7 linked regions of the Macaca mulatta genome follow. The protein of the gene in region 1 binds, or shares a complex with, the protein of each later gene. Links are inferred from orthologs where the notes say so. Each region holds a gene or a part of one and is shown in the gene's direction. Other genes may lie near its edges.

Region 1 (3,854 bases):
GAGCCATGTTTGCGCTACTGCACTCCAAGCCTGGGTGACAGAGTGAGACCTTGTCTCAAAAACATAAAAAATTTAAAAAAGGATAACTGTCAAATATACTTAAAGCAAATTGACATGTGTCCTGCCCTGTCCTGTCCTGATGATGGCTTCCAGCCGGAGGCCTGCTTTGTCTTTGTTGTAAAGGAATATTTGCCAGGATTAGAAAGGTGTTACAGATGGGGTAGCACCAAACAGAGACCTTCTCCATGTTTGAAAGGAAGTCAAAGAGGGAATCACTGCCTTCCTATGTGCTCTACACCTCCCCAAAACCATCTCCCAGGCCTCCCAGGGATGCCCCAGTGGTGTTGGTGGCTCCTGCCTGGTCTGACAGTCAGCCATGGCGTATACTTCCCCTTCCCCACAGAGACATTCTGTCTCCAGACAGCCAGAGACGCTCCAGAATGGAGGTCCTGAGGGAGAAGGTGGAGGAGGAGGAGGAGGCAGAGCGGGAGGAGGCGGCCAAGCGGGCTGAATGGGCGAGGACCGAGAAAATGATGAGGCCAGTTGAGGTGCGGAAGGAGGAAACCACCTTGACACAGGAGATGCTCAGAGACCTGGAGAAGAAGCTGTCGGAGATCCAGATCCCCATCTCAGCGGAGCTCCCGTGAGTGTGGCAGTGTGGGGGCCCTGGCAAGGGCAGACCGGGGCTGGGCACAGGGAGACCCAGGCAGAGTGGTGGCGACTGGTCTGGCAGGGTGACCAGTTAAGAGTGAAGGCTTTCTGCTTTCAAATGGCCTGGGCCGAGTGTCCACGCTCCCCCGACTAGCTGTGTGACCTTGGGCAAGTCACTCAGCCTCTCGGTGCCTCAGTGCCTTTATCTGTCTAAAAGTGCAGGTGCTGGCCGGGCGCTGTGGCTCACATCTGTAGTCCCAGCACTTTAGAAGGAAGAGGTGGGAGGATCGCTTGAGACCAGGAGTTCGAGACGAGCCCGGGCAACATAGCGAGACCCCCATCTATCTCGACAAAAAATACAAAAATTAGCCAGGTGTGGTGGTGCCTCTAGTCCCAGCTACTTGGGAGGCTGAGGTGGGAGGGTCACTTAAGCCCAGGAGTTCAAGGCTGCAGTGAGCTATGACTGTGCTACCGCACTCCAGCCTGAGCAACAGAGCAAGACCTGTCTCTTAAATATAAATAAATAAATAAATAAATAATAAATAAATAAGCAGATGTTAATGATACCTGCTTTCTCAGTAGCTGTGAGGATTAAATGAGGAAGGGATAGAGCCAATGGCAACTCAGTGGAACCAGGGCTCCTGAGTACCAGGCATGGCTTCCCTAATGCCGTCCCTCTTGTGGCACAGGGCCTTTACCAAGGACACTATTGACATCTCCAAGCTGCCTGTTTCCTACAAAACCAACACACCCAAGGAGGAGCACCTGCTGCAGGTGGCAGACAACTTTTCCCGCCAGTACAGCCATCTGTGCCCGGATCGCGTGCCCCTCTTCCTGCACCCCCTGAACGAGTGCGAAGTGCCTGTAAGGCTGGCATGTTGAGGGCAGGGCCAGGGAGCCTGGGGCTGGAGAGCAGAGGGCACAGGGAAGTGGGGTGGGTTCTCCAAGGGCACTGGGCCAAATCACAGACCTCCTGTGGACTGGAGTGCTTCTAGTCTGGGGGAAACATAAACTCCAATGCCAGCAGGCCTCAGCAGGCTCAGTGCAGAGTACCCTGGAGGGTGGTGGTGGCCTGGAGACCCCATGCCTCGCCTAAAGAGGCAGCTGCTGATTGCTGCAGGGAAACTACAGGTGTGGGGCTACCTGATTAAGAGGAAACTGGGGATTTGTGTGGGAGTCTCTGATTTTTAAATGCTGGCAGCTGACATAAATGCTAAACATCGTCACATGGGCCAAATAAAGCGGGTCTGTGTGTCCCTGTCAGCCAATGGGCAGCTGTTTCCCACCCTCTGGATGAATCCCATGTCATTCCATCTACAGATGGAGAAACTGAGGCCCAGAAAGGCTCAGACACATGCTCTGGGTCACAGGGCTGGAAGGAAGAAGCCAGAGCTTAGGTTCTTATGCCTGTTCTGGTCCAGTTTGTCTTATTTCTCTGTCCTTCGCTGGACAGGCTGACCTCTGAGGCTTCAGACTGTACTGGCCACCAGCTGGCCCCAGCCCAGAACCTCTGTAGGCCCCAGGGAGAGCATCGCTCTTGGGAGGAGAGCACAGCGCTCCCAGGAACCCCAGGAAACAGACCTGATCTTCTCATTCAGCCCTGACTTGCTGGGTCACCTCAGGCAGCTCTCAAGCCCGCTCTGGGCCTCAGGTGTCTCCATGATGCCCTAGGGGTTGAAGGCGGCAAAACTTCAAAGCTCTTCAAAGTCCAGATCCAGAATATGCTTGTGCTGTCTCCAGGTGCTGGCAACGTGATGGGGGCCTCCCAGTCATTGCCACTGCGCCACTGATGGCTGCCATGCACCAGATCTGGGCGTCACCTTCCCAGCCAAGGGCTGCTCTGCCACCCCAGGGCATGTGGGCCTGGCCTCCTGCATTTGCTCGGGCCTCTAGGGTCCCCCTGTGGATTCGGAGAAGGCCCCAACACTGGATCTCAGAGGTTTTTACTGCCATGACCCCACTGGCACCATCTCTTTCCTTGCAGAAGTTCGTGAGCACAACCCTCCGGCCCACACTGATGCCCTACCCCGAGCTCTACAACTGGGACAGCTGTGCCCAGTTTGTCTCTGACTTCCTCACCATGGTGCCCCTGCCTGACCCCCTCAAGCCGGTAAGCGCCACTCACAGGCTGCATGCCTGAGCCCACTAGGACTAAGATGGTGTGAGAAACAAACTCACCCATCCAAACCCAAAGAATGGAGTTAGAGGCCGGGCGTGGCAAGGTGGGTGGATCACAAGGTCAGGAGTTCGAGACCAGCCTGACCAACATGGTGAAACCTCGTCTCTATTACAAATACAACAATTAGCGGGATGTGGTGGCGTGTGCCTGTAATCCTAGCTACTGGGGAGGCTGAGGCAGGATAATCACTTGAACCTGGGAAGCGGAGGTTGCAGTGAGCCGAGATGGCTGGCGCCATTGCACTCCAGCCTGAGTGACAAGAGCAAAACTCCCATCTCAAAAAAAAAAAAAAAAAAAAAAAAAAAAAAAAAAATGGACATAGAGACCTGGAGAACAGTGAAAGTGAGACTTTGAATGATGGTCTCGCAAGATTGGGTGTCTGATAGGCAGACACACCCAGCACAGTTTTAACAGGCAATTTATCCCCTAGTGCGCAGGTCCCTCCCCTGGTTCTTCACAGGCTAAGTACTATGGGGCCACAATCTTCCCAGACATCGCCTATTGATTGTTAGGCAGGGGCTTTAGGTGTTTTTTCTAGGGTGGTTTTGCGGCATTTTGTTGCAACCCGCAATGCATTGCAATCCTAGTTAGCTCAGGGGCTCTTTAAGTATTTGACTTACGACCTAGGTAACTGGGCAAGCTGATAAGAACAGCTACTTGGGAGGCTGAGGCAGGAGAATGGCGTAAACCCAGGAGGCGGAGCTTGCAGTGAGCTGAGATCCGGCCACTGCATTCCAGCCTGGGCGACAGAGCGAGACTCGGACAGAGTGAGACTCCGACAGAGCGAGACAAAGCCAGCTATTTAGCAAACTAGTAAACTTTTATCTTAGGCTAAACTTTTTTGGTTTGAGTGAGGGCAGCTAAGGCGGTAAGGAGGAGGCTGACAAACAGGCATTGGCTATTCAAGCAGGGGCCTAGTATATTCTGGGTTTTTATTTTTGGTAGTTTGCTGACCTAAGCAGATTCAAGGCACTTTTCCTTGGAAACTGATCACTGTGTACATTATTTCCTTCAATGGGATGCC
Region 2 (4,433 bases), on another chromosome or scaffold:
TAACAGAATGCAAAACATTATCTTTGACAATAAACTTATCATTTTCAAAACTGAGAATAAATATTTCTCTGAAGAGAATAAACTTGTTTGCCAAGTTTTAGTCCATAGGGATTGGTGGCTTCAAACTAGAAATTAGTATATGATCATTGCTTTTACTCAATTTGTTCTTTAAGTATGTAGAAGTTTTGTGTGAGAGCAGATATATCAGTTAAAAAGCAATGTGCTTAGAGGCAGAATTAGCAATGCTTTGGTTATCTCCCTGTTGAGTTTGGTTACAATTATTTTAATACATCTAAAGTTCAACTTAACTGTAACAGCAATTTAAACTGCTATCTCTGTGTTGTTGGGGTTTTTTCTTCCTATTTCATTGCCTTACCTGAACTCATATCGCCATTCAGCACAAACTTAACTCAAAGTGTATGGTAATGCCAGCTCCATATCAATGACTCAGTTTCCAGACTTTTGCAATTAATAACTCAATGTAACATACAGCAAGAGTGGAGAAGGTAGTGCCTTCATGGGTAAACATCACAGTTACTAATTTCTAATCCTACAGAAGTGGTCAATTGCTCATCTCCTTTTTAGTACTAATCTCGTGATTCAAACCAACTTTCTAGGAAAGGAAATTCTTCCTTCTGTCCTCACAATGGCTTTGTTTTCAAGTTAGACATACTTTTTTTCTGATGCCTTCTTTACTTTCTTATTTCCTCCTAAGAAAGACTATAACAGTATTTTTTAATCACTTTGGTCATGGACACCTTTGAGTCACAAACCTCATAAAAATGTGTATTATAGACAAAACTGCATGAACTTTCAGGGAGTACATGGACCTCCCTGAAGTTCATCCATGTAGTCAAAAGGGATCTGTGAAAGGGATCTGTGAACTCTGGGTTAAGAGCTCCTGGCCTGGTGCATGGTCAGCCTTCACAGGTAGGGTGGTTAGGTTACTCCCTCATCAGAGAAACTAGAAATACCAAGGAAGGGGCTTACTCAAAGCAGTGTAAATAAATAGAGGCCTCAGTGTTCCTCTTCCATGGCCATGTGTAGTTTCCTTACCCATTCACTGTATCTGTTAATTTCTGAAGTGGTTGAATCAGAGCTACTGAGGCTTTGGGACCCTCTTTATTTGTACATTTACCCATCTCCTCACTCTCAGCAAGGCAAGAGAGGTCTGATGTGAATTCAAATTGTGACAGTGAATTCTCTAACTCCAAATTTGGTTGAGTTTGAAAATTCTGCACTAGGGATTACTTCTGCAACTAGCTAATGCTAAGCACTGTTATTACAGGAAGGCAGCTCAGAGAATGTCATCTAAAGTTCAGCAGCAGGAATACAACTCTAATGACCCTCCACGTTGGTTTGGCTATGATAGGGAAGGAGACCCTCTTACAGAGCTTGACAATGTAACACCATCTAAAGGAGCCTCAGAATTAACAGTGGAAAAGTCAACATACAGCAGTGAAGAGCAAGCAGCGTGACCTTCAGCCTCAAGCAGGAAAAACAACAAATCAAGAACTTGACAAGTTTTCTCCATTTGTTGCAAGTATGTTCACTAGCTGAATCTCAATAACAATGTAAACAAGCAACAAACCATCTTCTGATTCTTATTCCAACTACAAATATTTCCAAATACATCAGTAGTTCTTCTGTCTAAATAATCATGATTTAAAAAAGAAGCCAGGCCGGGAGCAGTGGCTCATGCCTGTAATCCTAGCACTTTGGGAGGCCGAGGCAGGTGGATCATAAGGTCAGGAGTTCGAGACCAGCCTGGCCAACATGGTAAAACTCCATCTCCACTAAAACTACAAAAATTAGCTGGCTGTGGTGGTGAGCGCCTGTAATCCCAGCTACTCGGGTGGCTGAGGCAGAGGACTCGCTTGAACCTGAGAGGCGGAAGTTGCAGTGAGCCTAGATCACGCCACTACACTCCAGCCTGGGCGAAAGAGCAAGACTCTGTCTCAAAAACAAAACAAAAAACAAACAAAAAAAAGAAGCCAAATCAAGTACTGACTACATAAAATTTCTGCCTAAATTTAATCAAACCAATAGTTTTTTGATGAGATATAAAATGTAAAGTTATATGAAACAACCCTGAGAGATGAGATTTTTTTTTTATAAGAAATTAAGAAATTTTTCTCTAGAAAGGAAAAAGAAAGCAGAGATGGCCATATGTCAAACTAAGAGTTTGAGCCAGGGCCATAACTTTAAGGATCTGTGGTGCTTTATAAAGTTTTATAAAGAATACAGACATATATTAATATTTTCAAAGGAAATGTGGCTTTCCTGTGGTTTCCAGACATTTAACAACAAAAGAGAACTAAATGCCACCAATTAACTCTGGACTTATCTCAATATTTGACTTAGTCAGGGGCAAATTAAATAGAAACTAGAACTATCTGAATAGAAAGAATGTCCCTGCAATGTCTCAGAAAGATATTTCTTTAATCAAATTTGCACAATGGAGGAATTCTTAAACTATGCTATGCCAAAAAAGATGCTCCCTCAATTTTATGCTAGGAAGTATGGGTTATTAATTGCATATCTACATATTAGTTTTTAATCAGCTTTAATCTGTGGGTTTTAGTATATGTGCTGCTGAAGCCAGCACATCTGTGGGTTTTTACCATTATTTGATATTATGTAACACTGATGTTGACACAGTCCAAGAGAAAGCACAACTCTGTTCTGACTGCTGCAAACAAGCTATGTCAGCAATATCAGATCAGCCTTTTAACCTATTTCCTCAATTACTTATCTCTCACGTGGAGTTCTCTTTTTGTATTCCACAAGTTTCAAACAAGGATTAAAAACTTAAAGCATCGTTACTTTGAAAAGTTTTAAAAAGATTGTACAAAGTATTATTATAGGTTACCCTGTATTAGCTAAATGCTTTTAGTAATTCTCCCCCACTGAGGTTGATTTGCAAAGTTTTTGAAATAAGGTAATATTACTTAGCTGTGGAAAGGTTCTTAGGAGTGGGCACACAGGCAACAGAATCATTTCAATGGGAAGTTTTAGAACCATAGCCAAGAGACATAAGATGACATAAGAGTACGGTTTTAACCTAAATTTGGAAATTTCTGGCAGCTGCATTAAAGATGTTTTCAAAAATCTGATTCCTAAGTGCCCATGCACACAACTGGAGGAACTTATAAAAGAGGCAATTGCTTTCTAAAGGAATGACACCTGCCCTGGGAAGACCCCGGTAAGAAACACACCCTGTTACGTATTCTCCAGAAACCTAGCAGGTTGCTTTACATTCAGAGCTTGCTCCAAAGCTCTTTGAGTAACATCCTCTCTTAAACAAGAACAGAAGACACATTCATTCATTCCAGGGAGACAAATTTTACAGCTACATAAATGAAAAAAAGGAGTAGAAAAAGTGAGCTATGAAAGGAACCAAGAAGTAAGGTATACAGGTAGAGAAATCTTTTAAGTTCTCAGTGCAAAGTACTCAAAATATCAAAGATATTAGTTAGGTCTTTAGCCCTTAAACATTTCATATTCATAGGTCTGTGTCCAAGAGAGTAAAATATTTCAGCTTTTTCTTTTTGTCTGGGGCTTAACAATGTGATCCAAATATGTACAATTCCATTAATAGTTTAAATATAGTTGACTGCTATTATGCTTATGACTTTTCTGGCTGTGATTGGCTAATTTATTTTTAGTCATGAAAATGTTTATGTAATTGCATGAAGGTGAAAAAAGATTATAAAAATTGCCTCACTGCCACACAGTTTCCTCTACTTAATAGTATAACACACCCCAACCATACCAAATATACCAATGTGTAAGTATCTTTCAGACTTGTATACATTCTCATTTCATGAAGGGTGAACTAAAAGGAGACTTTGAGATACCCTACAAAGCTGACTTTTGTTTCATAAATAAAGAAGTTAAAAACAGAACTCTAAAGAAATGGCATATTAATGAAAAGGAGGCTGGGCACAGTGGTTCATGCCTATAATCGCAGCACTTTGGGAGGCCAAGGCAGAAGGACAACTTGAGGCCAGGAGTTCGAGACCTGATGAATTTGTAAGACCCACCTCTATAAAAAATTAAAAAATTAGAGCAGGCATGGTGGTGCCTGTCTGTAATTCCAGCAACTCAGGAGGCTGAGGCAGGAGAATGCCTGAGGCCAGGAGTTTAAGGCTTCAGTGAGCTATGATCATGCCACTGCACTCCAGCCTGGGCAACAGAGTGAGACCTCAGAAAAAAAGAAAAAGATAATCATAAATAATATTTGGAAAGGTTTGTTAAAAATTAAGTGTTTAAGAATGGACTTCTCCTGGCCCAGTGCAGTGACTCACACCTGTAATCCCAGCACTTTGGGAGGCCGAGGCAGGCAGATCACATGAGGCCAGGAGTTCAAGACCAGCCTGACCAACATGGTAAAACCCATCTCTAGTAAAAATACAAAAATTAGCTGGGCA
Region 3 (4,464 bases), on another chromosome or scaffold:
ACGGTCTGCAGGTCCCCTAATCCAAAAGGAGAAAAGCCCTGAAGTGTCTGCTGTTTTCACTCTAACCAGTATGGTGCCCAGAGATCCAAGTGGCAGATAGATGGCAAGCCTCAGGATAGCACAGAGCTGCAGGGAGAGTGAAGGCTGCCTGACAAGGGAGGGCCACCCGTCATACTCTCTCCCCCACATTAATTATTCCAGCCACTCCTGGCTCCAGCAGGACACTAAGAAGTATCCCCAAAGGGAGTCACCCCCAATATTGCCCAGTAAATAATTTAAAAGCAAAAATGTGGGAAACTCAGGAGAAGGTCAAACAAGTCCACTAGAGGGAGCCCCAACCAACTCTATGCTGCAGGGAGCCTCACAAAGCAATGTCTCAACACCTGTCTGAAAATCAACCACACAAGGGAATGGGGAAATGTAGCAATAGATTAAGTAACTAGGAGAGAAGATAGCCATGTAAACACCTAGCTAAAACACAGGCTTTTCAAGAGCTACAAAATCAAACATTTAAAGATCAGGAAACTGATGCTGAGCAAAGTCAAATGGCTTGCCTCAGTTTACATATCCACAGTTGGGACTCAAACTCAAATGTCTTGTCTCTAACCTGAGCACTTTCCTGCACACTTGCATCCCTCTAGGTCAGTACCCTAGAGTCCATGGGTCTGCTGTTCCTTTGTGTCTCATTTCTCTGAAGTGGGAAACGCCCTCGACTACCTATTCCTGTACTTATTACCCTCATTCCACAGTGTACTGAAGAGGATCTTCAGTGGTTTGGGGTTTTTGTTTGTTTGTTTGTTTGTTTGTTTGAGACAGGGTCTCCCTCTGTCATCCAGGCTGGAGTGCAGTGGTGCAATCATAGCTCACTGCTGCCTCAACCTCCCAGGCTCAAGTGGTTCTCCTGCTTCAGCCTCCCGAGTAGCTGAGACTAACAGGTGTGCACCACCCTGCCAGGCTAATTTTTTAATTTTTTGTAGAAATGAGGTCTCACTGTGTTGTCCAGGCTGGTCTTGAACTCCTGGCCTCAAGTAATCCTCCTGCCTCAGCTTCTGAAAATGTTGGGATTATAGGCATGAGCCACCGCCCCCAGCTTAGATCTTCAGTTTTAAACCTACTAATGTCATTTTGCTGATGGGACCTCGGGATGTCAATTGTCCAACATGGCTACTGTCAGTCCTTTTCCTCTGTATCAGCACAACATATTATCTCAGATGTGTACATCTGAATTTGGAAGTCTCCAAATTGCAGGCCATGTCTACGTGGCAATGAATCATAACCAATCGGCCTCCAAAGCCCTTTCTTTTCAAACTATACTTAGGGTTTTGGGATAAGGAAAGAACTGACCCTTTGAGACCTTGATATTTTAAGCTTTGTGAGCTGATTTAGCCCATTCCACCTTCCTACGAACTCCATGTTTCCCAGTTGCCTGGACAACATACAGCCTCCCGAAACCCAACCTTCCAGCCCTCAGTCCTGCCCTCAAGAGAAATTTGTCACCAAGGATTGGCTCCCAGGACCCAGGCCCCGCCTCAGGCTCCTCGCTAGTTGGGCCTTCTCTCTGCCACTCCCCACGGGTGGGTCACTCCACAGGGAGCCCCAACACTGGCAGGAGAGGATCCTACAGGTAGGAAGAGGGGGTTGAGGATGATGGGAAGAGGGAGGGGAGCAGGTACAGGGATTTATCTAAAAGAGAGTTGTGAGGAGTGACTTCCGTACAGTCAGCCTGGTTGAGAGAAAAAACTTCACCCTCCCCGTTGACCCCAACCCTGCCTGAGGTTCCAAAGAGACTGTGAACTGACTTTTCTGAAGAGTATGAGATACAAATTTGGAGTAGAACCAGGAGACTCCCCTGAGACTCCTGATTCAGTCAGGAAAGCATCCCTGTGTCCAGACCTAAACATAAGGTCCCCTCCTTCTCCCAGGACAGCAAGGAGATGCCACTTAAAAACAAAGAAAAAGGGAAGAAATCTGGGGCGCAGAAGAAAAAGAACTGGGGTGAGTCATGGTGGGTGGAGGTGCCCCCTGCTTCTCCATGTTCTGGCATGAAGACCACGCAGAGCTCCTCCAGAGAGAATTCAGCCTTCTACATGACAGGATGGAACTCTCTTGACCTTCCTCTTTCGTGTCCTTGAAGTCAGATGCAGGGAGCTGAGGAAGTGGGGAAATGGTCACTCACGCTCTCCTTTAAGCACCATCTAGCTTTGTGCCTTCCTAATATATTTGTCATGTGTATTTTGCATATCTGTTATGTGCTGGTTGGTAAGGACACAGTGCTGACTTCAGTAGACTCTGCCACCATGGATCCCTCATTTAGTGGTCCTCAGGTCTCCTGTGGCAAAAGTGCAGGGTGTGGGGTGAGGACGCAAGGAGAGTGAGGAATGCTGAGATCACGAAGAGCTGAGGCTCTGCCACTTGCCACAGCAGGTGCAGATGTGGAGGCTGAGTCCAGGCACAGGCTGGTGGTGCTGGAGAAGGAGCTGCTCCGAGATCACTTGGGTAAGGAGGGTAGAAGTTGGCATGGGGGTGGGCAACAGGGCAAGTGAAATGGGGCATTTCTGTATCCTGGGGGATTGGAGAGTTGGAGATACAGTGGGGGGCTAAGTTGAACCCTAACCATCCCCTAGTGGAAAAAGACAATGAGAGAGGGGTGGGCAGTGAGAGTTGATAAAGGAAGCTTTTTTTTTTTTTTTAGACAGAATCTTGCTCTATTGCCCAGGCTGGACTGCAGTGGTGTGATCATAGCTCACTGTAATCTCAAACTCCTGGACCCCAACAATCTTCCCACCTCAGCTTCACGAGTAGCTGGTGCACACCACCCTACCTAGCTACTTTATTTATTTATTTATTTTTCTTTTTTAAAATTTATTTTATTTTATTATTTCATTTTATTTTATTTTACTATCTTTTTTTTTTAAGACAGAGTCCTGTGCTCTGTTGCCCAGGCTGGAGTGCAGTGGCGTGATCTTGGCTCACTGCAACCTCTGCCTCCCAGGCTCAAGTGATTCCCCTGCCTCGGCCTCCCAAGTAGCTGGGATTACAGGCACACAGCCACCACGCCCGGCTAATTTTTGTATTCTTATTAGAGACAGGTTTTCACCATGTTGGCCAAGCTGGTCTCGAACTCTTGACCTCATGATCCTCCCACCTTGGCCTCCCAAAGTGCTGGGATTACAGGCATGAGCCACTGCGCCTGGCCCTATTTATTTTTCTTATAGAGACAAGGTCTCACTCTGTTGCCCAGGCAGGTCTCAAACTCCTGGCCTCAAGCAATTCTCCCACCTAAGCCTCCCAAAATATTGGGATTACAGGCATGAGCCACCATGCCGGGCTATCCGGAAAGCTATTTTGTATAGGCAGAACATGGAGAGAGTCTTTACTTCTTAATAATGAGGAGCCTGTGAGACTCTAGGGATAAAAAACAAAAACAACAAAACCCAGAGAGAGAATAAGAGGCTGGACGCCCCGCCACCAGATTTCTAGAGACGGGCAAAATTCATCAAGTTCATGGGGGCTGATTTAGCGGGCCCCAGCCAGTCCTGACAGTGGCTCTGGGACTGCTCACAGCTCTACGGAGGGATGAAGCCCGTCGAGCCAAGGCTTCCGAAGACCAGCTGAAGCAGAGGCTGCAAAGGGTGGAGGCTGAGCTGGAAGGGGCCCGAAGTGAAGGGAAGGCCATATATGCAGGTGTGTGGTCTGTTGAGCAGGTGGGCAGGAGACAGGGGCCTGGAGGAAGACAACCAGCAGGGTCAGATGATGCAAGGAAGGGAAACAAGGAGGGCTTCCAACTGCCAGGCCTGGTCTTGGTCTTCCCCGAACAGTACAAATCAGGCAGGATCCTGCAGGAATCAAAGGCAGGTAGGTTCCTGGGATCCCAGGCAGGGGCCTGCCAGGATGCCTGGTGCCATGTGCTTGATGCTGTGTAGGATACGCATGCAGTCATAGCCATCACCTCAACCATCCTATGGGAGGGGAGAAGGACTAGCATCCCCATCCAAAGCTGGACGGTGGGGGAGGTGGGTTGGGCTTCCTTTCCCTTCCTCAGGTTTTCATGGTCTCTAGCTTCTCAGAATCACAAAAAGAACCAAGAAGACCATGGGCCGGGAGTGGTGGCTCACACCTGTAATCCCAGCACTTTGGGAGGCCGAGGCGGGCGGATCACGAGGTCAGGAGATCGAGACCATCCTGGCTAACATGGTGAAACTCCGTCTCTACTAAAAATGCAAAAAATTAGCCGGGTGTGGTGGCAGGTGCCTGTAGTCCCAGCTACTCGGGAGACTGAGGCAGGAGAAGGGGGTGAACCCGGGAGTCGGAGCTTGCAGTGAGCCAAGATCGCACCACTGCACTCCAGCCTGGGCGACAGAGCGAGACCCCGTCTCAAAAAAAAAAAAAAAAAAAGAAAAAGAAGAACCAAGAAGGCCTTTGTGCTCCTGTTCCACTAGACCAAGTAGAGTCTTCCCCACCCAC
Region 4 (4,377 bases), on another chromosome or scaffold:
GGGGGGGGGCGGTTCATGCATAATTTTCATGATATCTGCCACCACAGATTAAAGTCCTCGCATTCAAACGCTTGGACACGGTTGTTTAACTGTTTAATACATGACTGCTTGCCTGCCTGTATTGTCTTTGCCCATTGGCTTTCAACTGGGGTGATTTTTGCCCCCACGGGGACATCAGGAATGTCTCGAGACATCTTTGTCACAACTTGGGAGTGAGGGGATTGCTGGTGGGTGGAGTCGGGGGATTATGTGGCTCAAAATGTCAATTGAGCTGCTGTTGAAAAATCCTATCTTAGCTAATATCCCCACTTTACGAATGAGGAAATTGAATCTTGGAGTGGTTAACTTGCCTCTTATAAGTTTCAACCCAGGTAGTTTGAATCAGGGAACCTTCCTGCTTAACCATGACCCTATATACACCTACGACTAGAACCAGTACCCTGATTTGAATTCAAACACGTCATTTGTCCAGCGAGACAAAAATGAGGTCCAGAGAGGGGAAGAGACTTGCCCAAGGTCACACAGTGCAGGAGCGGGGCTAGAACCCGGGACTCCTGAGTCCTGGTCCAGTGTTCCCTCCGCGGGCTTTGCTTCTGCCTCTACAGAGGACCCAAATGGCCAGCCCTGGGGAAAGGGCCTAGGGGAAGAGGGCCAGCTGCCATGCCGCTGTCCGCTCGGGCAGCCTGACCCGGGCACGAGACTCCTGCGGGGTCACCTGAGGGCGCCAGGGAGAAGAGCGAGGGAGGGAGCAAGAAGGAGGCAGGAGCGCTGGCTCCAGCTCCGCGTGCTCCCAGCCCCTGGCTGGGTGCCCACGTGAGGGTCGCCCCAAGAAGTCGGGGGCAAGGAGAGAGGGTGCAAAGCCCCGGCCCGGGCTGGACGGAGAGAAGCGCGGCGGAGACTTCCCCGCGCCCTCTCTGGGCCCATTCAGTCCACCTCCCACACCAGAGTGTCGCGCCGCAACCCCTTACTCCGCGCCCTCTGACCCTGATCCCTGCCCTCTCCCTCTGGCCAAGTCCTCGCATCCCTCGGATTCTTACACGCGCCGCCCCAGCAACCCGGACCGCGCGCCGGGGTCCGCACCACGCAGCCCAGCCCGCCGGCGCCGCCGCCAAAACCCCGAGCCCGAAGCTGTTGCAGCCGCCGCAGCCGCCGCCACTTCAGCCACCGCCACCAGGGTAGCTGCGCCAGCTCTCCCATCCGCCGCCTACCGTCCTCTCAACCCCGCTCGCCCCGCCCCATTTCCCCTTCACAGCGTCCTACTGGCTAACTGGGCTACCATGATGAGCTCTGATTGGTCAATTCTCACGTCTTTCCGCAGGTCTCGCCCGCAGCCGAGGCAGTACTCCCTGCCCGCCTCCTTAAGAAGGGGCGGGACGAAGAATCCACGCCCCTTTCTCCTCCCATCTTCCCCGCCTTAATCGTTGAGTCCAACCCAGAGGGAGTCCCAAGTCTTTCCATTGGTGCAAGGTCAAAATGGCGGTGCTTCTGATTGGTCAGACTTCAGGAGGTGGGGACAATTGAGCGGAACAAGAAATTGAATGGTGAAAAGAAAGGTCAGTCAGACACAGAGTCCCGCCTTCTGAGATTGGCGGGTAACCTCGCAACGCTGGGACTGCGGCGGTAACTGTGGCTAGGGAAACCTGGAGCCGTCAGAGCGGGTGAGTAACCAGGTGGGAAAGGGTCGCGGATCGGGGGAGATGTGGAATGGGGTTCAGCCCGATGTCCTTTGGCTCCCTGAGAAATTGGTAGCCCCCGCTGCGATCCCGTCTCAGCTTCAGGACCCCGTCCCTCAGCCCCTGCCTCAGTCTGGACCTCTGGCTCCACAGCCTGCAGGGAGCCGGCCTCCATTCTTCCCCTTCTACCTGCCCACTTCATGGCCCCACTCCCTCATCCCTAAAACGACGAGGACACCAGTCAAGCAGAGTCACATCGTAGTTAACTTATTTCAAGTCAAACATGGGAGCTGTGGGTGGGAGGGGGGTTTATAAGTCCCCTCCCATTCCACCCAACGACCATACGTTCCTCGGTGAGCGGGCCATCTCACTTAAGTGTTTAAATTAGGTAGTTTTTGTTTGTTTTTGTTGTTGTTGTTTTTGCCTAGCGCGGTGACTCACGCCTGTAATCCCAGTACTTTGGGAGGCCAAGGCGGGCAGATCACTAAAGATCAGGAGTTCTAGACCAGCCTGGCCAATATAGTGAAACCTCATCTCTACTGAAAATACAAAAATTAGCTGGGCATGGTGGTGCACCTGTAATCCCAGCTACTCGGGAGGCTAAGGCACGAGAATCACTTGAACCCGGGAGACCGAGGTTGCAGTAAGCCAAGATCGCGCCATTGCACTCCATCCTCGGCAACAGAGCAGGACTCTGTCCCAAATAAATAAATAAATTAGGTAATTTTTATTATACCACTTTGGCCTTTGTCCTAACTTTGGAATTTATTTCCCATCTCCGTCCTTAAAATGTAATCTCTTTGTACCTACTAAAGATAGAGAGTTTCTTGTGATGATTAAATGAGGCTGAGGGCTGGGCACAGTGGCTCAATCTGCAATCCCAACAATTTGGGAGGCCGAGCGGCGGATCACCTGAGGCCAGGAGTTTGAGACCAGCCTGGCCAACATGGTGAAACCCTGTCTCTACTAAAAATACAAAAATTAGCTGGGCATGGTGGTGCATGCCTGTGATCCCATCTACTCGGGAGGCTGAGGCAGGAGAATTTCTTGAACCCGGGTGGTGGAGGTTGCAGTGAGCCGAGATGGTGCCACTGCACTCCCGCGGGGGTGATAGAGCGAGGCTCCATCTCAATAAATAAATAAATAAATAAATAAGGCTGAGGTGGAAGAATCGCTTGAACTCAAGAGGCGGAGGTTGCAGTGAGCCATGATTGCACTGCTGCACTCCAGCCTGGGCCACAGAGTGAAAAACCCTGTCTCAAAAAAATATATAAAAAAGAAAAACTTTGAGGTTCAAAAGATATTTTCGTAAGAAAATGAAAAGATCAGCCACAGACACAGACATGGAGGAAATATTTGCAAATCTCATGTGTCTTATAATAGACTTGTATGTAGAAAATAAAAATAACTCTTATAACTCAAGAGGACAACTCCATTTTTTTAATGGGCAAAAGAGTTGAGTAGACATTTAAAAATCAAAAAGACAATCCCAAATATCATCATGTAGATAAATAAACAAACTAGCTTTCATATATTGCTGGTAGGTACAGCAGAATACCAATTGGTACCACCAATCTGAAATATAGTTGGCAGTTTCTTAAAAAGTTAAACATAGGCCAGGCACAGTGGCTCATGCCTGTAATCCCAGCACTGTGGGAGGCACAGGCAGGTGGATCACCTGAGGTCAGGAGTTCGAGACCAGCCTGGCCAACATAGCAAAACCCCGTCTCTACTAAAAATACAAAAATTAGCAGGGCATGCTGGCGGGCCCCTGTATTCCCAGCTACTTGGGAGGCTGAGGCAGGAGAATCACTTGAACCTAGGAGGCGGAGGTTGCAGTGAGCCGAGATCATGCCACTGCATTCCAGCCTGGGCAATAGAGTGAGACTCTGTCTCAAAAAAAAAAAAAAAAAGCAAATGAGTATTTCATTATTTTGATCTGAGCTTTACGATTTTTCTTTTCTTTTTTTTTTGAGATGGAGTTTTGTGTTGTTGCCCAGGTTGGAGTGCAGTGGCACGAGAATTGCTTGAATCTGGAAGGTGGAGGTTGCAGTGAGCTGAGATCACGCCACTGTACTCCAGCCTGGGCAACAGAGCGAGACTCAGTCTCAAAAACAAAACAACTACAACAAAAAAATGTGAGTGGAAACAGAGATCGTTTGCAGATTAGCTCATGGGAATTTGGTGGAGTGATAGAAATGTTCTAAAACAGGATTGTATCTAAAACTGATGTGGCAACTTTAGATACATTTACAAAAATAGTAATTGAGTTTTATACTTACAATGGGTGAATTTTATGGTAATGTAAATTACACCTCAATAGAGCTGTAAAAAAAAAAATTACACGCGTGGTTAGTACCATGCAGGAAAGGTGAGAGAATTTCCACAGGTTGTAAAGTGCTGTGTGTTCCTGTCTGAGAAGGGGTAGCCATTGAGCTAAGACCTAAAGAATGAGAAATTGTTAATCCAGGGAGAAATTGTTCATGGGGGAGTTGGTTTCTGACATAAAGTAACATTATACGTTAGTGCCTGAGAGCAGGAGGGGTTTGAGATAGGCTGTTTTTTGTTTGTTTTGTTTTTGAGACAGAGCCCCTCTCTGTTGCCCAGGCTGGAATGCAGTGGTGCAATCTCAGCTCACTGCAACCTACGCCTCTCGGGTCCAAGCAATTCTCCTGCCTCAGCCTACCAGGTAGCTGGGATTACA
Region 5 (4,544 bases), on another chromosome or scaffold:
AGGCTGGGAGGAGGGTATCCAGTGCACACAGTTGAAATCTGCCAGCACCAAAAAGAGCACCTAGGCTTTTTTTTTTTTTTTTTTTTTTTTTTTTGAGACAGAGTCTTGCTCTGTCGCCCAGGCTGGAGTGCAGTGGCACAATCTTGGCTCACTGCAAGCTCCGCCTCCCGGGTTCACGCCATTCTCCTGCCTCAGCCTCCCCTGTAGCTGGGACTACAGGTGCCCGCCACCACACCTGGCTAATTTTTTGTATTTTTAGTAGAGACGGGGGTTTCACCGTGTTAGCCAGGATGGTCTCGATCTCCTGACCTCGTGATTCTCCCATCTCGGCCTCCCAAAGTGCTGGGATTACAGGCGTGAACCACCGCGCCCGGCCACACCTAGGCTTTTTTAACAGCTTGCCCAGATGTGGAGAAGAGGGAGTGCTGCTTAAAAGCTGTCAGCGGCCAAATATCAGCAGCAAAAAATGGAGTCAGATTTCTTATTTAAAAAGATGTTGGAAGTGGTATCGGGACAGTGTAGGGCCAAAGTATCTCACTGATCTCTTTTCATGGGTTTGTATGGTACCTTTGCTCTCACTTATCTCTTGTGCAACAGCTGATTCCCACTGACTTTCTCATGGTATCCTACTCCCAGGCATAGACATGCGTATGCACACATACTTGTTTCTGTCCTTATGGATAGTGGAAACAAGAACCAGAACCAGGGTGAGTTTTTGGTCAGAGCTGTACCATGGCTCCTAGGAGAGTTTAATGCTTTAGGTTTCAACCAAAGGAGACAGAGATCTGGCAGAAGACCCTGAAGCCTAGAAACAACTACCCCCACTCCTCCTACCACCACCACCTAGGCAGGTGTGAGGCAAGGATCCAGGCAGCTGCTGTTAGACTCTATAGCTGTTGGATGGTTTTGGCATTCCTAAACCTTACTACTGCTTGCAAACTTGGAAGAACTGATTTTAAAAACCCACTCCATTTGCCTCTGGGCAGTTCTTACTCACAAAGGGTGGATCTTCTTGGCCCCACAATTGTCTGTGGGTTGCACCATTTAACAGCTGAGAAAATGGCCCTCAAGAAGTTGTGACTTGCCCAAGGTGGCAGGGCAGGGCTAGGACTAGTACCCACCCTTTCTCACTGCTCATCCAGTGCCCTTAATTCCCCAAGGGCTAATGGGACAGAACCCTGTTAAATGGTATCCAGTATTTGGTTGGTTGGTTGGTTGGGTTTGTTTGAGACAGAGTCTTGCTCTTGCCCAGGATGGAGTGCAGTGGCTCGATCTCGGCTCACTGCAACATCCACCTCCCAGATTCAAGTGATTCTCCTGCCTCAGCCTCCCGAGTAGCTGGGATTACAGGTGCCCACCACCAAACCCAGCTAAGTTTTGTATTTTTACAAACATTTGTATTTGTATTTGGTGACTATGAGTTGGAGGAATATTTGATGAATTAATGGAAGATGAATTAATCATCAAGGTCAGTAAGTGATGAACCACAGCTTGGTCCAGCTCTTTAGTCCTCTAGTCTCCTGGTGAGACTCCACAGCTCCGCTAATACGACCGGGCCTTCGTGGGGCTGACAACAGCCCTGACAAGCCACCGGCTGGAGAGGCGTCAGCCCGAGGCTGGGATGCTCCGCCCGAATGGCGGCTGGCGGCGGGCTGGGCCCAGGGAGCTGCGCGCGCAACCACTCGGGCGGTGGCACCGGTGACCGCTCTCCCTGGCAACGGTTTGTTGCTAGCAACCAGCCTGCGGTCTGGAGGTGGTGCGGAGGGAGCCGCCTAGGTGCCGGGGACTCCTGCCATGAATCCGCCGGGGTCCCTAGCGGGCCTGGACCCGAACCTGGACGAGCACTTGTCCACCCAGATTCTCGCGCCCTCGGTCCACTCCGACAACCCTCAGGAGCGCATCCAGGCCCGGCGCCTCCGCATCGCGGCGCGCCTAGAAGCCCGGAGGCGGTGAGCGCTGGGCGGGCGGGGCGGGATCGCGCAGCAGGGGCCGGAGCAGGGCTGGTTTCCTGATGAAATAGAAACATTTCTTCCGGAAGGTTCATGCAGAGTATGGGAAAGTAAAACGCTGGGCCGGTGCCGCGACGCGCGCCTGTCATCCCAGCATTCAGGGAGGCCGAGGCGGGAGGATCACTTGAGCCCAGGAGTTCGAGATGATCAGTCTGGGCAGCATAGAGAGACCGCATCTCTATAAAACACCAAAATATTAATCGGGCCTGGTGGCCCGCGACTGTGGTCTGCACATGGCATCTTTTCCACTACGTACACCCCCAAACCGTAGGGTCTGCTGGATCATGTGGCCCAAGTAGCCTGGCTGCTTACACTGTGGCCTGGGTCCTTTCCTGTTCCAGGCACCACTCAAAGCTGGCAGCTTTTTGTGTCAGCCTGAATAGTATTCCTAATGCGGGATGTACTAGGACCCAAAGTGGTCTAAGAGGCATTGAGTTTCCTTCTCTGTAGAGGATGCAAAACGCAGTAGATTTGTTTTTTACTTGATAGGCTATCCCAGTGTGCCACTGACCACTGGACCCCTACAAACTTGAATGACATGCAGTCCCTGGGCCTTCATAGGGTTGATTGCCAACGTCTGGAGCACACATGTCTTACCAAGCCCTGCAGTGTGTTTCCATCACTCGCTCATCCTGGCTGATTGCTGCAGGGCCATCAGTGGAATGCAGGGGCTGGCAAACCCTTTCAGTAAAGGGCCAGATAGTAAATATTTTAGGCTTTTGGGATCATATGGCGTCTTTCCTAGCTGCTCAACTGCCATTGTAGTGCAAAAGCAGCCACAGGCAAGACATAAACAAATGGGCATGACTGTGTTCCAATAAAGCTTTATTTATGGACACTGAAATTTGAATTTCATATACTGTTCATGTATCACAAAATAGCCTTCTTTTGATTAAAAATAATAATAAACTTTATTTTTTAGAGCAGTTTTTAGGATCACAGCAAAATTGGTCAAAAGTACAGCATTCCCATATACTCCCTGCCACCACACGTGCACAGCCACTGTCAACATCCTGCACTGGAAGGCACATTTGTAACAATATATGAACCTTGGCGCATCGTTATCACTTGAACTCCATCGTTTACCTTAGGGTTTCTTTTTGGTGTTGTATAGCCTATGGGTTTGAATAAATTTATAGTGACATGAGCCCACCAATATGGTATTACACCAAATATTTTCACTGCCCTAAAAATCCCCTGTGCTCTACTTATTCATCCTAGTCTTTTTTAACCATTCATTTATATATTTTTTAACCATTTAAAATTGTAAAAAATTGTAGCTTGTGCCTGTAATCCCAGCACTTTGGGAGGCCAAGGCAGGAGGATCACCTAAGGTCAGGAGTTCAAGGCCAGCCTGGCCAACATGGTGAAACCCCGTCTGTACTAAAAATACAAAAATTAGTTGGGTGTGGTGGCAGGCACCTGTAATCTCAGTTACTTGGGAGCCTGAGGCAGGAGAATTGCTCGAACCTGGGAGGTGGAGGTTGCAGTGAACTGAGATAGTGCCACTGCACTCCAGCCTGGGTGACAAGTGCAAAACTCCGTCTCAAAAAAAAAAAAAAAAAAAAAAAAAAAAAATGGGCCGGGCGCAGTGGCTCATACCTGTAATCCCAACACTTCGGGAGGCTGAGGCGGGCGGGATCATGAGGTCAGGAGTTTGAGACCAGCCTGACCAACATGGCGAAACCCTGTCGCTATTAAAAATACAAAAATTAGCCAGGGATGGTGGCGTACACCTGTAATCCCAGCTACTCAGGAGACTGAGGCAGGAGAATCGCTTGAACCCAAGAGGCAGAGGTTGCAGTGAGCTGAGATCGTGCCATTGTACTCCAGCCTGGGCAACAGAGCGAGACTCTATCTCAAAAAAAAAAAAAAATTGTCAGAATCATTATTTGCCTGGAAGCCATAAAAAAGCACGTGGTGGACTGGATCTGGCCCACAGGCCATAGTTTGCCAGTGCTGAAGTAATGGATCATTGTGATGTTCTCTGGGATATCCAGATGTCCCTGATGTATTCAGAATATATTATGACAGAGATCAGGAGAATTACCATGGTCCTGTGAGTGTGACAGACTTGTGAGTGTATATCATTGTCTGTTCCATGTAAATGTGAACTTCCTGATTCTTTTTCCTGATGTAGAAAAGCATGCATTTGACCCAATCAGTAGCCACACATACTGTGCCTGAGGCTGTACAAATTTGCTCTAGCGAAGCTTACCACACTTGCGTAGATGCTGTGTTCAGGAGTGCTACCTGTGCAGCTTCCGGTAATTGACAGTCGTTTTCTAGGATCCAGTTTCTGCAGGTGCCAGATCCATGAATTAAAAGGAGATTCAATAGGGATCACCACTCCTGCATCGTTGAGATACTTCAGGGTGACACTAATGCCCACCAACCGCCCTGGGCGGCAATGTTGTTTTCTGTGTACTCAGGTGCAGTTTCAGAGATGTACTTTTGGCCTTCCCCACTATGACAGGTCTATTTGTAGGCCAAGGAGTGGAGTTTTTCAAACTTCTAAGTATGTCAGTCCCAATT
Region 6 (4,291 bases), on another chromosome or scaffold:
TTTCTCAAGGAATATGGATTATCGTGGACCCACCTCTGACCTAAATACTGTGAAGGAATCAAAGTATGAAACACAAACCTCATCCCACGGAACCTTACAATTTAACTGCAAAGGCAAGATACGCCTAAAAAAAATAAGCCATTACCACATAGCAGTACTTGGTTAAATGCTAGGAGGGAGTACAGATACGATGTACTTTTTAATGAAAAGAACATTCCGCTGTGGGAGTTTCGGCAGGCTGCCTTGAGGTTGGGGAACTTGAAATGAGACAAAGTATTTAAGCAGGGAGAAAAATGGGACGGGAGGCCGGCAGGCACTTCCAGAGCAGAGGAATCGGGTAAAGCAAACAGAGTGACGACACAACGTGAAAAGAAACCTGAAGTTTGTCTCCAGTGAGCCCCCAACATCCCCCCAACGCCTCTGTCTGGCTCTCCGTTCAGTATCTTCCCGAAACTTCAGGTCAGCGGTTCCTAAAGTGGTCCCCGGACAAGCATACATCACCAACCAGCTGGGAACGTAAACTGTCAATCTGGGGACTCATCCCAGACCCACTGAGTCACTAAGTGGGGGACTGGGGGCGGCAATCTGTGTTGGACCGTGTGCGTCGGGTGACTGTGATGCACGCTCAAGTTTGAAAAGCACTCCTCCAGGGCTACTGCTAAGCACAACCCTCCGCACCGAAGTGATACTGTTCTGAGCGCCTAACAGCCAACTTGCAGGGTGTAGGGAGCTGAGAGCGGGTCCCAGGCCTGTAAGAGTTCAGGCTCTGCCCCGATTTCGCTTTCTCATCCAGGACACCTTCTCCCAGTCACTACCTCCTACGCCTGCTCCTTCTGGACGACTTTACCCTGACAGGGCCCGCTCCCGCCCCTGTCGCCCTACCTCAGTGTCAGAGGGGACGTGGTGCCGGCAGGGAGGGGAACTGCCCAAGGAGACGGGAGTAGATGTGGCGCTGGCCCGGAGCCCGCCCAACAGGAGTAAAACGCTTCGGACCCACATAGACCCGCTCCAGCGCCACCGGCTCCGGCCCGGGCCTGAGCCTGAGTAACCCGCTCCTCCTCCCCACTCGGCCGCCATCTTCGGGCCGAGCGTCGTTACCATGGAGCGCGTGACGCCTCTGCGCCCGCGCCGGCCCCGCCCCTCGCCGCTCGGGGCAGACGGAGGCCCCCGCCGGCGGAAAGGTGCTTTCCGATTGGACAGCGTCACCCGCTGGAAGTTCGCGGCAGAAGATGAGGGCGGCGATCACGTCCATCGCGTCTCGTTGCGCGAGGCCGGCCAATAAATGCCGTTTGGAGGCCCACGTGAGTGGGGCTGTGGGAGGAAGAAGGGCGCGCGGGCGTTGGCCGTGTGTGGGTGTCTGAGGCAGTTTTCCAGTTCTTTCGTTTACCAAAGTGATATGCACCTACTAGGTGCCAGGTGTTTGGACGGACATTCAACCCTCTGCAGAATCTTTCAGTGTAGTCCTCTGTAGGAAAAGGTGAGTGGAATACTTTCATTTACTTATCCTGAGTCACCAACTTTAGGCGCTTTACTTGACTAAAGCCATTTCCTGTAAAAATCAATGATACACACTTTACTATTTTACTCAACTCCATCTTTTAGTTTCCAACCAAGAATTGCCACTGCACCTGAGATAAGGGAGATCCTGGGAGCCGTGAGGAACTACACAAAATGGGAAATTGGGACAAATTCCAGTGGCTCATGACACTAAGAAGTAAAAGTACGAACTCAGACACTGAGCTGGAAGTCATGCAACGGGAATTGAATAGGTAAACTACTATACTGGGAAATGAAGGGGTAGGAAAGAAGGAAAACTTCAAGTTACAGACTGGGTGGAGATTACGGACTCAGATATGAGGATGGGGTGGTGTCTTAAGTATTACCATTTTACAAGTGAATAGTCACTAAATAATGTGTGTATCATCCCACAACTAGTGGAAGGTGGGATTCCAAACCACATTTGTAACTTAGGAAACGTGCCCTTTCCATTACAGTACCACAAATAAACTGCTGTTGTGAATAAAGAGTGGAACCAGTCATCCTAAGCTCCTGGCTGTTACAATAGTGTTACGCTGAGGAAAGGCTGTTTCTTTTTTTTTATTTTTGAGACTGACTTTCACTTGTCGCCCAGGCTGGAGTGCAGTGGCGCAATCTCGGCTCACTGCAACCTCTGCTTCCCGGGTTCAAGCGATTCTCCTGCCTCCGCCTCCCGAGTAGCCGGGATTACAGGCGCCCGCCACCACTCCCGACTTTTTGTGTTTTTAGTAGAGACGTAGTTTCACCACGTTGGCCAGGCTGGTCTCAACTTCATGACCTCAGGTGATCCGCCCGCCTCCGCCTCCCAAAGTGTTTGGGATTACAGCCATGAGCCAAAGCTGTTTCAATGGCATAGTGAACAAAATACCAGCCACGCAAGCCCTTTCCTGTAAACCACGGGACTTTGGCAACGGTGACTTAAGTACTTTTGACTTAATTTCGGTATGGGAGCAGAAAAAATTATAAATTTATTATTTACAAATGCTGCATCATCTCGGTAAGGAAGAGCATGTATTTGCTCGAGTCTCATTTGCCATTGCACATATAAGTTACTCGAGTTACCCTAAAGTCTCAACCTTTTGTTTTCCCCGCTTTGCTCAGATGCCTACCACTTACTGTGTAAGCACCTCCATTCCTTTCATCTATTCTACTCAGAATACCATTCACTTCTCCATATGCCTAAACCAGACCTGAAATACCCATCAGTCTTCATGGATATGTCGATTAACATCTTACCGCCTCCTCAAATTCAACTTTTGCTCCTCCCACAAAACCATCCCCTGGTTCCCCAGCTTTGCAAATGCACCATTACCCATCCAGCCCCCATAGCCAGAAACATGTTAGAACGTTAGCCATTTGAGACTGAAAAGCCCACCTGATTTTCCCTTGTTTATACTGGGCTGCCACTGGGATGTAAAATGTTAATCTGAGCTGGACATGGTGGCTCACACCTGTAATCCCAGTACTTTAGGAGAACAAGGCAGGGGGATCACTTGAGGCCAGGAATTAAGAGACCAGCCTGGGACCCCGAAAAAAAAATTTAATTAACTGGATGTGGGTGGCATGCACATGTAGTCCCAGATTCTCTGGAGGTTGTGGGCAGAGGATTGCCTGAGCCCAGAAGTTCAAGGGTGCAGTGAACTATGATCACACCACTGCAGGCTGGGCAACAGAAACCCTGTCTCAAATGAGTAAATTTTAAAATTTCCTGTGAATCAAGTTCTTCAGTGACATTGTTACTACACACAAGAACAATCTTAAGATCCTCAGTACAAGAGACGTCTTATGTGGCATTTCTGAGTTTTCTGGACTTTCCAGTCAGCTACTTGTATTCCTAAAATCTTCCTGCCATTTCCTGAGATGCCTCCGTATTTCTTCTACACTTTATAGTTTTATGTTATGTCAGGATACCCACATGCCTCTATCCCTAAATACCCCAAGAGTACTGATCACATCTATTTAACTGGCACAATGAACACAATAGGTACTTTTAGCTTATATTGGCCTTTTGGAGTGGGTGTCCAAGATCAGCACTTCCTCCCGCTGACTGCGTAATTCCCAAGTTCAATTTCATCAGCATTCTAATATACAACTTCCAACTTTTGACCATGAAAAAGTATGGCTTACTTCTGGTGAATACAGCATCAATGCACTTTGTTTGCCTTAAAACCACAATCCTAATAAATGAGCCTGGCAGAGCATTAATAATAAAAGCCCCTGTCCATGAAACATGGGACTCCAACAATGGCAACTTTGGCCTACATTCCACCATTGGACTGACCGAACCTTTCTTACGACTGCCGATGTGACAGAGGGACCTCTGGGAGAGGACTTCTTGTTTTCTCTTGCGTCAGTATATCTCATTACTCTCTTAGTAGGTTAGCAGATTTGTAACAGGATGGTTACTAGAGGAAGGGGAAGCGGAAAAGCTGGGACAGTATTCCTACTCTTTTCCCTTACTACATTTTCCTTCTCAGTCCTGCCTCCAGGAGATGAAAGACCAAATAACACAACAGCCAATGTGCTCTTCCCACGCAGTCCTTTCTTTCACCCTCTTTCCCTAATACATTTCCAGCATGTTAATTCTTTTGCGGCATAGACAAGAGAACCCATACATGTTTCAAAACTGCAAAAGGGATTAGGGGGCAAACTCCCAGTTTCTTGTTGACATTTTCAGTGCAATTTAAAGATCTGTTAATTTAAAAAACTACCTGTGCTTTAGACATCAATAACCCTCGTTGGGGGGGGGGGGTGC
Region 7 (3,854 bases), about 32 Mb from region 1:
GATGTGATCATGGCTCACTGCAGCCTCGACCTCCCAGGTTCAAGCAATCCTCCTATCTCAGTCTTCTGAGTAGCTGGGACTATAGGCACGTGCCACCACTCCTGGCTAATTTTTTTTTTTTTTTTTTTTTTTTTTGTAGTGACGGGGTTTTGCCATGTTGCCTGGGCTGGTCAACTCTGGGTCTCAAAAGATCCTCCCACTTTGGCCTCCCAGAGTGGCGGGAGCCACCATGCCTGGCTGTTTGTGTATTTTTTGAGACAGAATCTCACTCTGTCACCCAGGCTTGAGTGTAGTGGCATGATCGTAATTAACTGCAGCCTCAGCCTCCTGAGCTTAAATGACTCTCCCCCCTCAGCTTTCCCAGTAGCTGAGACTATAGGTGCCATCATGCTTGGTGAATTCAAAAAAAATTTTGCAGAGATGAGGACTTGCTATGTTGCCCAAGCTGGTCTTAGACTCTTGGGCTCAAGGGATCCTTCCACCTCGGCCTCCCAGAGTGCTGGGGTTACAGGCGAGAGCCACTGTGCCTCGCTCATTTCCCTGTTTAAACTGGTCTTAGATTATTTCCTTTTCGATATTTTTGCTGTTGTAATAATGGTGTGGGTAATATCTTTGAGCAAGATGTTCTTATATTTCTTTTGAGAAATTTCTTAGGCATAAATTCTCAGGAATGGATGAAAGGATATAGTTATTTTATGATTATTGGTCAAATTGAAGAGAATTCTTCCATTTGCTGAATGTATTCTGTCTCTGGAGCTTCCTAGCCTTATATTTTAACTTTTTACGTTCAGCTGTTTATTTTTAGGTGAAATTGAGTCCTCCCTCTTTCTTCTTTGCCTTTCTTCGGCCACACGCCCCTTTGCCGTGCATGGGCCCCTGCTCAGTGCCTCACCTGACCCACTGCACCTGGCCAGGTGGAGGAGCATGTCAGCCGCATCCGGGAGGAGCTGGACCGCGAGCGGGAGGAGCGAAACTACTTCCAGCTGGAGCGGGACAAGATCCACACCTTCTGGGAGATCACACGGAGGCAGCTGGAGGAGAAGAAGGCTGAGCTGCGGAACAAAGACCGGGAGATGGAAGAAGCTGAGGAGAGGCACCAGGTGGAGATCAAGGTGAGTGGGGCCAGCCTGCCTGTGGCCACGTGGTCACCACACAGCTGCAGAGGAGCTGGACCCAGTGAGGGTGCAGGTGGGACATTTTCTGTTCTTGGCTTTAGGAGTCACAGCCCTAAAAGTGTTTTTTATAAAAGGCTGAGGGAGAAAACCTGCAGGTCCTGAGGGTTTAAAATGCAGTTTCCACAACCTGGAGGGAGTATGGGCTCTGGGGGCAGACTGGCCTGTTTGCAACTCAGCTCTGCCACTTAGCACCCCATGAGCTGGGGATGCACCTCACCTCCCAGCCTTGGTGTCCTACTCTGTGCCTCAAGTGTACAGGTTTGCATAGGTGAACAGGCATGTGTAGCTGTGTACAGGTGAGGAGGCATGCAAGTGAGCAGGTGGATGCAAGTGTTGAGGTGTGTGCAGGTGAGGAGGTGTGTGCAGGTGAGGCGTGGGGAGGTGAGCAAGAGGGGCAGATATGTGCAGATGAGGTGTGTGTAGGCGAGCAGGTGTCTACAGGTATGACAGGTGAGGAGGTGTGGTACAGGTGTGGTGCAGGTGACCAGGTCTGTACAGGAAGGTACAGGTGAGGTGTACAGGTGACCAGGTGTGTACAAGAATGTGCAGGTGAGGAGGTGTGGTACAGGTGTGGTACAGGTGTGGTGCAGGTGACCAGGTCTGTACAGGTACGGACAGGTGAGGAGGTGTGGTACAGGTGTGGTGCAGGGGACCAGGTATATACAGGAAGGGACAGGTGAGGAGGTATACAAGTGACCAGGTGTGTACGGGTACAGACAGGTGAAGAGGTGTGGTGCAGGTGTGGTGCAGGTGACCAGGTGTGTACAAGAATGTGCAGGTGAGGAGGTGTGGTACAGGTGTGGTGCAGGTGACCAGGTGTGTACAAGAATGTGCAGGTGAGGAGGTGTGGTACAGGTGTGGTGCAGGTGACCAGGTGTGTACAGGAATGTGCAGGTGAGGAGGTGTGGTACAGGTGTGGTGCAGGTGAGCAGGTCTGTACAGGTACGGACAGGTGAGGAGGTGTGGTACAGGTGTGGTGCAGGGGACCAGGTATATACAGGAAGGGACAGGTGAGGAGGTATACAAGTGACCAGGTGTGTACGGGTACAGACAGGTGAAGAGGTGTGGTGCAGGTGTGGTGCAGGTGACCAGGTGTGTACAAGAATGTGCAGGTGAGGAGGTGTGGTACAGGTGTGGTGCAGGTGACCAGGTGTGTACAGGAATGTGCAGGTGAGGAGGTGTGGTACAGGTGTGGTGCAGGTGACCAGGTCTGTACAGGTACGGACAGGTGAGGAGGTGTGGTACAGGTGACCAGGTGTGTACAGGAATGTGCAGGTGAGGAGGTGTGGTACAGGTGTGGTACAGGTGACCAGGTGTGTACAGGAATGTGCAGGTGAGGAGGTGTGGTAGAGGTGAACAGGTGTGTACAGGTATGGACAGGTGAGGAGGTGTGGTACCGGTGCAGTGCAGGTGAGTGGGAGTGTACAGGTATGTACAGGTGAGGAGGCGAGGTACAGGTGTGGTTCAGGTGACCAGGTATGTACAGGAATGTGCAGGTGAGGAGGTGTACAGATGTGGTACAGGTGACTGGTGTGTACAGGTATGGACAGGTGAGGAGGTGTGGTATAGGTGTGGTGCAGGTGAGCAGGTGGTACTCCCTTTGCCCTGCAGGTGTACAAGCAGAAAGTGAAGCACCTGCTGTATGAGCACCAGAACAACCTGACTGAGATGAAGGCTGAGGGCACCGTAGTCATGAAGCTGGCACAGAAGGAGCACCGCACACAGGAGGGTGTGCTGCGCAAGGACATGCGGGCACTGAAGGTGGAGCTCAAGGAGCAGGAGCTGGCCAACGAGGTGGTGGTGAAGAACCTACGGCTGGTAGGTGTGGCGGGGGCACGTGGAGGCTGACAGGTGGTTGGGACGGCGAGTCTAGTGCTGCATGAACTCCTGTTTATTCAACAGCAACTGGGAATTCATGTTTTTGTGTAAGACCTTCTGCATTTTTGCAATTTGTTGAAATTTTTTTTTAAAGCATGCATCCAAACAAACTCCATTTTGGGACCAAGTACACAATTCTGTTTCAGATCTCAGCAAAAAATTGACGTCCCTGAAGAAAAAAATCCAGCTTAAGATCTTTCATGTGCTGCTGACACCTGATACCCAGAGACTTTTCCTAGGGAATAGCGTCAGATGCATTTAGTAGAATGCAAACCAACCATTAAAATATCCAGTGTGTTGACTCCTGGGCAGCTGTGACAGTTTGTCACACAAGCTGGTCTGATTTTTACTTTTGAGGCGGGGGGTTTCCAGGGCAGCACTAAATTCATTTGTGCACCTGGTTGAGTGACTCACACCCGTAATCCCAGCACTTGGGAGGGTTAGGTGGGAGAATTGGTTGAGGCCAATAGTTTGAGACTAGCTTGGGTGAAATAGTTGAACAATAGTTGAACCCCATGTCTAAAAATTAAAAAACCATTAACTGGTGTGGCAGCTCATGCCGATAGTTTCAGCTACTTGGGAGGCTGAGGCGGAGGGTCTCTAGAGCTCAGAAAGTCAAGGCTGTAGTGAGCTAGGATTGCGCCTCTGCACTCCAGCCTAGGTGACAGTGAGACAAAACAAAAAGGAAAGAACTTACTGGCTGAGTGTCCATTAGCTGCTAGGTCCTGATCTGATCTCTGACAAAATGCCTGCCCGACTGGGTCTGCTGGTCTAGAAAGGAGAGACAACAGGTGAGCTGGA

What was found.
Region 2: DRC7 (region 1) and FBXL13 share a complex: the UniProt entries of both Homo sapiens proteins name them as parts of the nexin-dynein regulatory complex. The link is inferred for Macaca mulatta from reciprocal best matches to the Homo sapiens genes DRC7 and FBXL13.
Region 3: DRC7 (region 1) and DRC12 share a complex: the UniProt entries of both Homo sapiens proteins name them as parts of the nexin-dynein regulatory complex. The link is inferred for Macaca mulatta from reciprocal best matches to the Homo sapiens genes DRC7 and DRC12.
Region 4: DRC7 (region 1) and IQCD share a complex: the UniProt entries of both Homo sapiens proteins name them as parts of the nexin-dynein regulatory complex. The link is inferred for Macaca mulatta from reciprocal best matches to the Homo sapiens genes DRC7 and DRC10.
Region 5: DRC7 (region 1) and DRC1 share a complex: the UniProt entries of both Homo sapiens proteins name them as parts of the nexin-dynein regulatory complex. The link is inferred for Macaca mulatta from reciprocal best matches to the Homo sapiens genes DRC7 and DRC1.
Region 6: DRC7 (region 1) and IQCG share a complex: the UniProt entries of both Homo sapiens proteins name them as parts of the nexin-dynein regulatory complex. The link is inferred for Macaca mulatta from reciprocal best matches to the Homo sapiens genes DRC7 and DRC9.
Region 7: DRC7 (region 1) and GAS8 share a complex: the UniProt entries of both Homo sapiens proteins name them as parts of the nexin-dynein regulatory complex. The link is inferred for Macaca mulatta from reciprocal best matches to the Homo sapiens genes DRC7 and DRC4.

Annotation. Positions count from the first base shown.
Region 1 is NC_133425.1:53,308,513-53,312,366, forward strand, and holds part of DRC7 (dynein regulatory complex subunit 7), read left to right. Parts: intron 1-403; 5' UTR 404-440; coding exon 441-643; intron 644-1,340; coding exon 1,341-1,515; intron 1,516-2,635; coding exon 2,636-2,761; intron 2,762-3,854. UniProt on the Homo sapiens protein: Component of the nexin-dynein regulatory complex (N-DRC) a key regulator of ciliary/flagellar motility which maintains the alignment and integrity of the distal axoneme and regulates microtubule sliding in motile axonemes.
Region 2 is NC_133408.1:142,504,830-142,509,262, reverse strand, and holds the end of FBXL13 (F-box and leucine-rich repeat protein 13), read left to right. Parts: intron 1-1,288; coding exon 1,289-1,478; 3' UTR 1,479-3,632; downstream 3,633-4,433. UniProt on the Homo sapiens protein: Substrate-recognition component of the SCF (SKP1-CUL1-F-box protein)-type E3 ubiquitin ligase complex.
Region 3 is NC_133419.1:119,882,962-119,887,425, reverse strand, and holds the start of DRC12 (dynein regulatory complex protein 12), read left to right. Parts: upstream 1-1,366; 5' UTR 1,367-1,411; coding exon 1,412-1,624; intron 1,625-1,922; coding exon 1,923-1,995; intron 1,996-2,421; coding exon 2,422-2,496; intron 2,497-3,564; coding exon 3,565-3,684; intron 3,685-4,448; coding exon of another isoform or gene 4,449-4,464. UniProt on the Homo sapiens protein: Component of the nexin-dynein regulatory complex (N-DRC), a key regulator of ciliary/flagellar motility which maintains the alignment and integrity of the distal axoneme and regulates microtubule sliding in motile axonemes.
Region 4 is NC_133416.1:120,462,491-120,466,867, reverse strand, and holds the start of IQCD (dynein regulatory complex protein 10), read left to right. Parts: upstream 1-1,546; 5' UTR 1,547-1,658; intron 1,659-4,377. UniProt on the Homo sapiens protein: Component of the nexin-dynein regulatory complex (N-DRC), a key regulator of ciliary/flagellar motility which maintains the alignment and integrity of the distal axoneme and regulates microtubule sliding in motile axonemes.
Region 5 is NC_133418.1:98,606,041-98,610,584, reverse strand, and holds the start of DRC1 (dynein regulatory complex protein 1), read left to right. Parts: upstream 1-1,724; 5' UTR 1,725-1,794; coding exon 1,795-1,949; intron 1,950-4,544. UniProt on the Homo sapiens protein: Component of the nexin-dynein regulatory complex (N-DRC) a key regulator of ciliary/flagellar motility which maintains the alignment and integrity of the distal axoneme and regulates microtubule sliding in motile axonemes.
Region 6 is NC_133407.1:975,654-979,944, forward strand, and holds the start of IQCG (dynein regulatory complex protein 9), read left to right. Parts: upstream 1-1,221; 5' UTR 1,222-1,477; intron 1,478-1,602; 5' UTR 1,603-1,769; intron 1,770-4,291. Other genes in the region: LMLN (leishmanolysin-like peptidase), read right to left, coding at 883-1,101. UniProt on the Homo sapiens protein: Component of the nexin-dynein regulatory complex (N-DRC), a key regulator of ciliary/flagellar motility which maintains the alignment and integrity of the distal axoneme and regulates microtubule sliding in motile axonemes.
Region 7 is NC_133425.1:85,492,411-85,496,264, forward strand, and holds part of GAS8 (dynein regulatory complex subunit 4), read left to right. Parts: exon of another isoform or gene 1-37; intron 38-791; exon of another isoform or gene 792-914; coding exon 915-1,112; intron 1,113-2,786; coding exon 2,787-2,993; intron 2,994-3,854. UniProt on the Homo sapiens protein: Component of the nexin-dynein regulatory complex (N-DRC), a key regulator of ciliary/flagellar motility which maintains the alignment and integrity of the distal axoneme and regulates microtubule sliding in motile axonemes.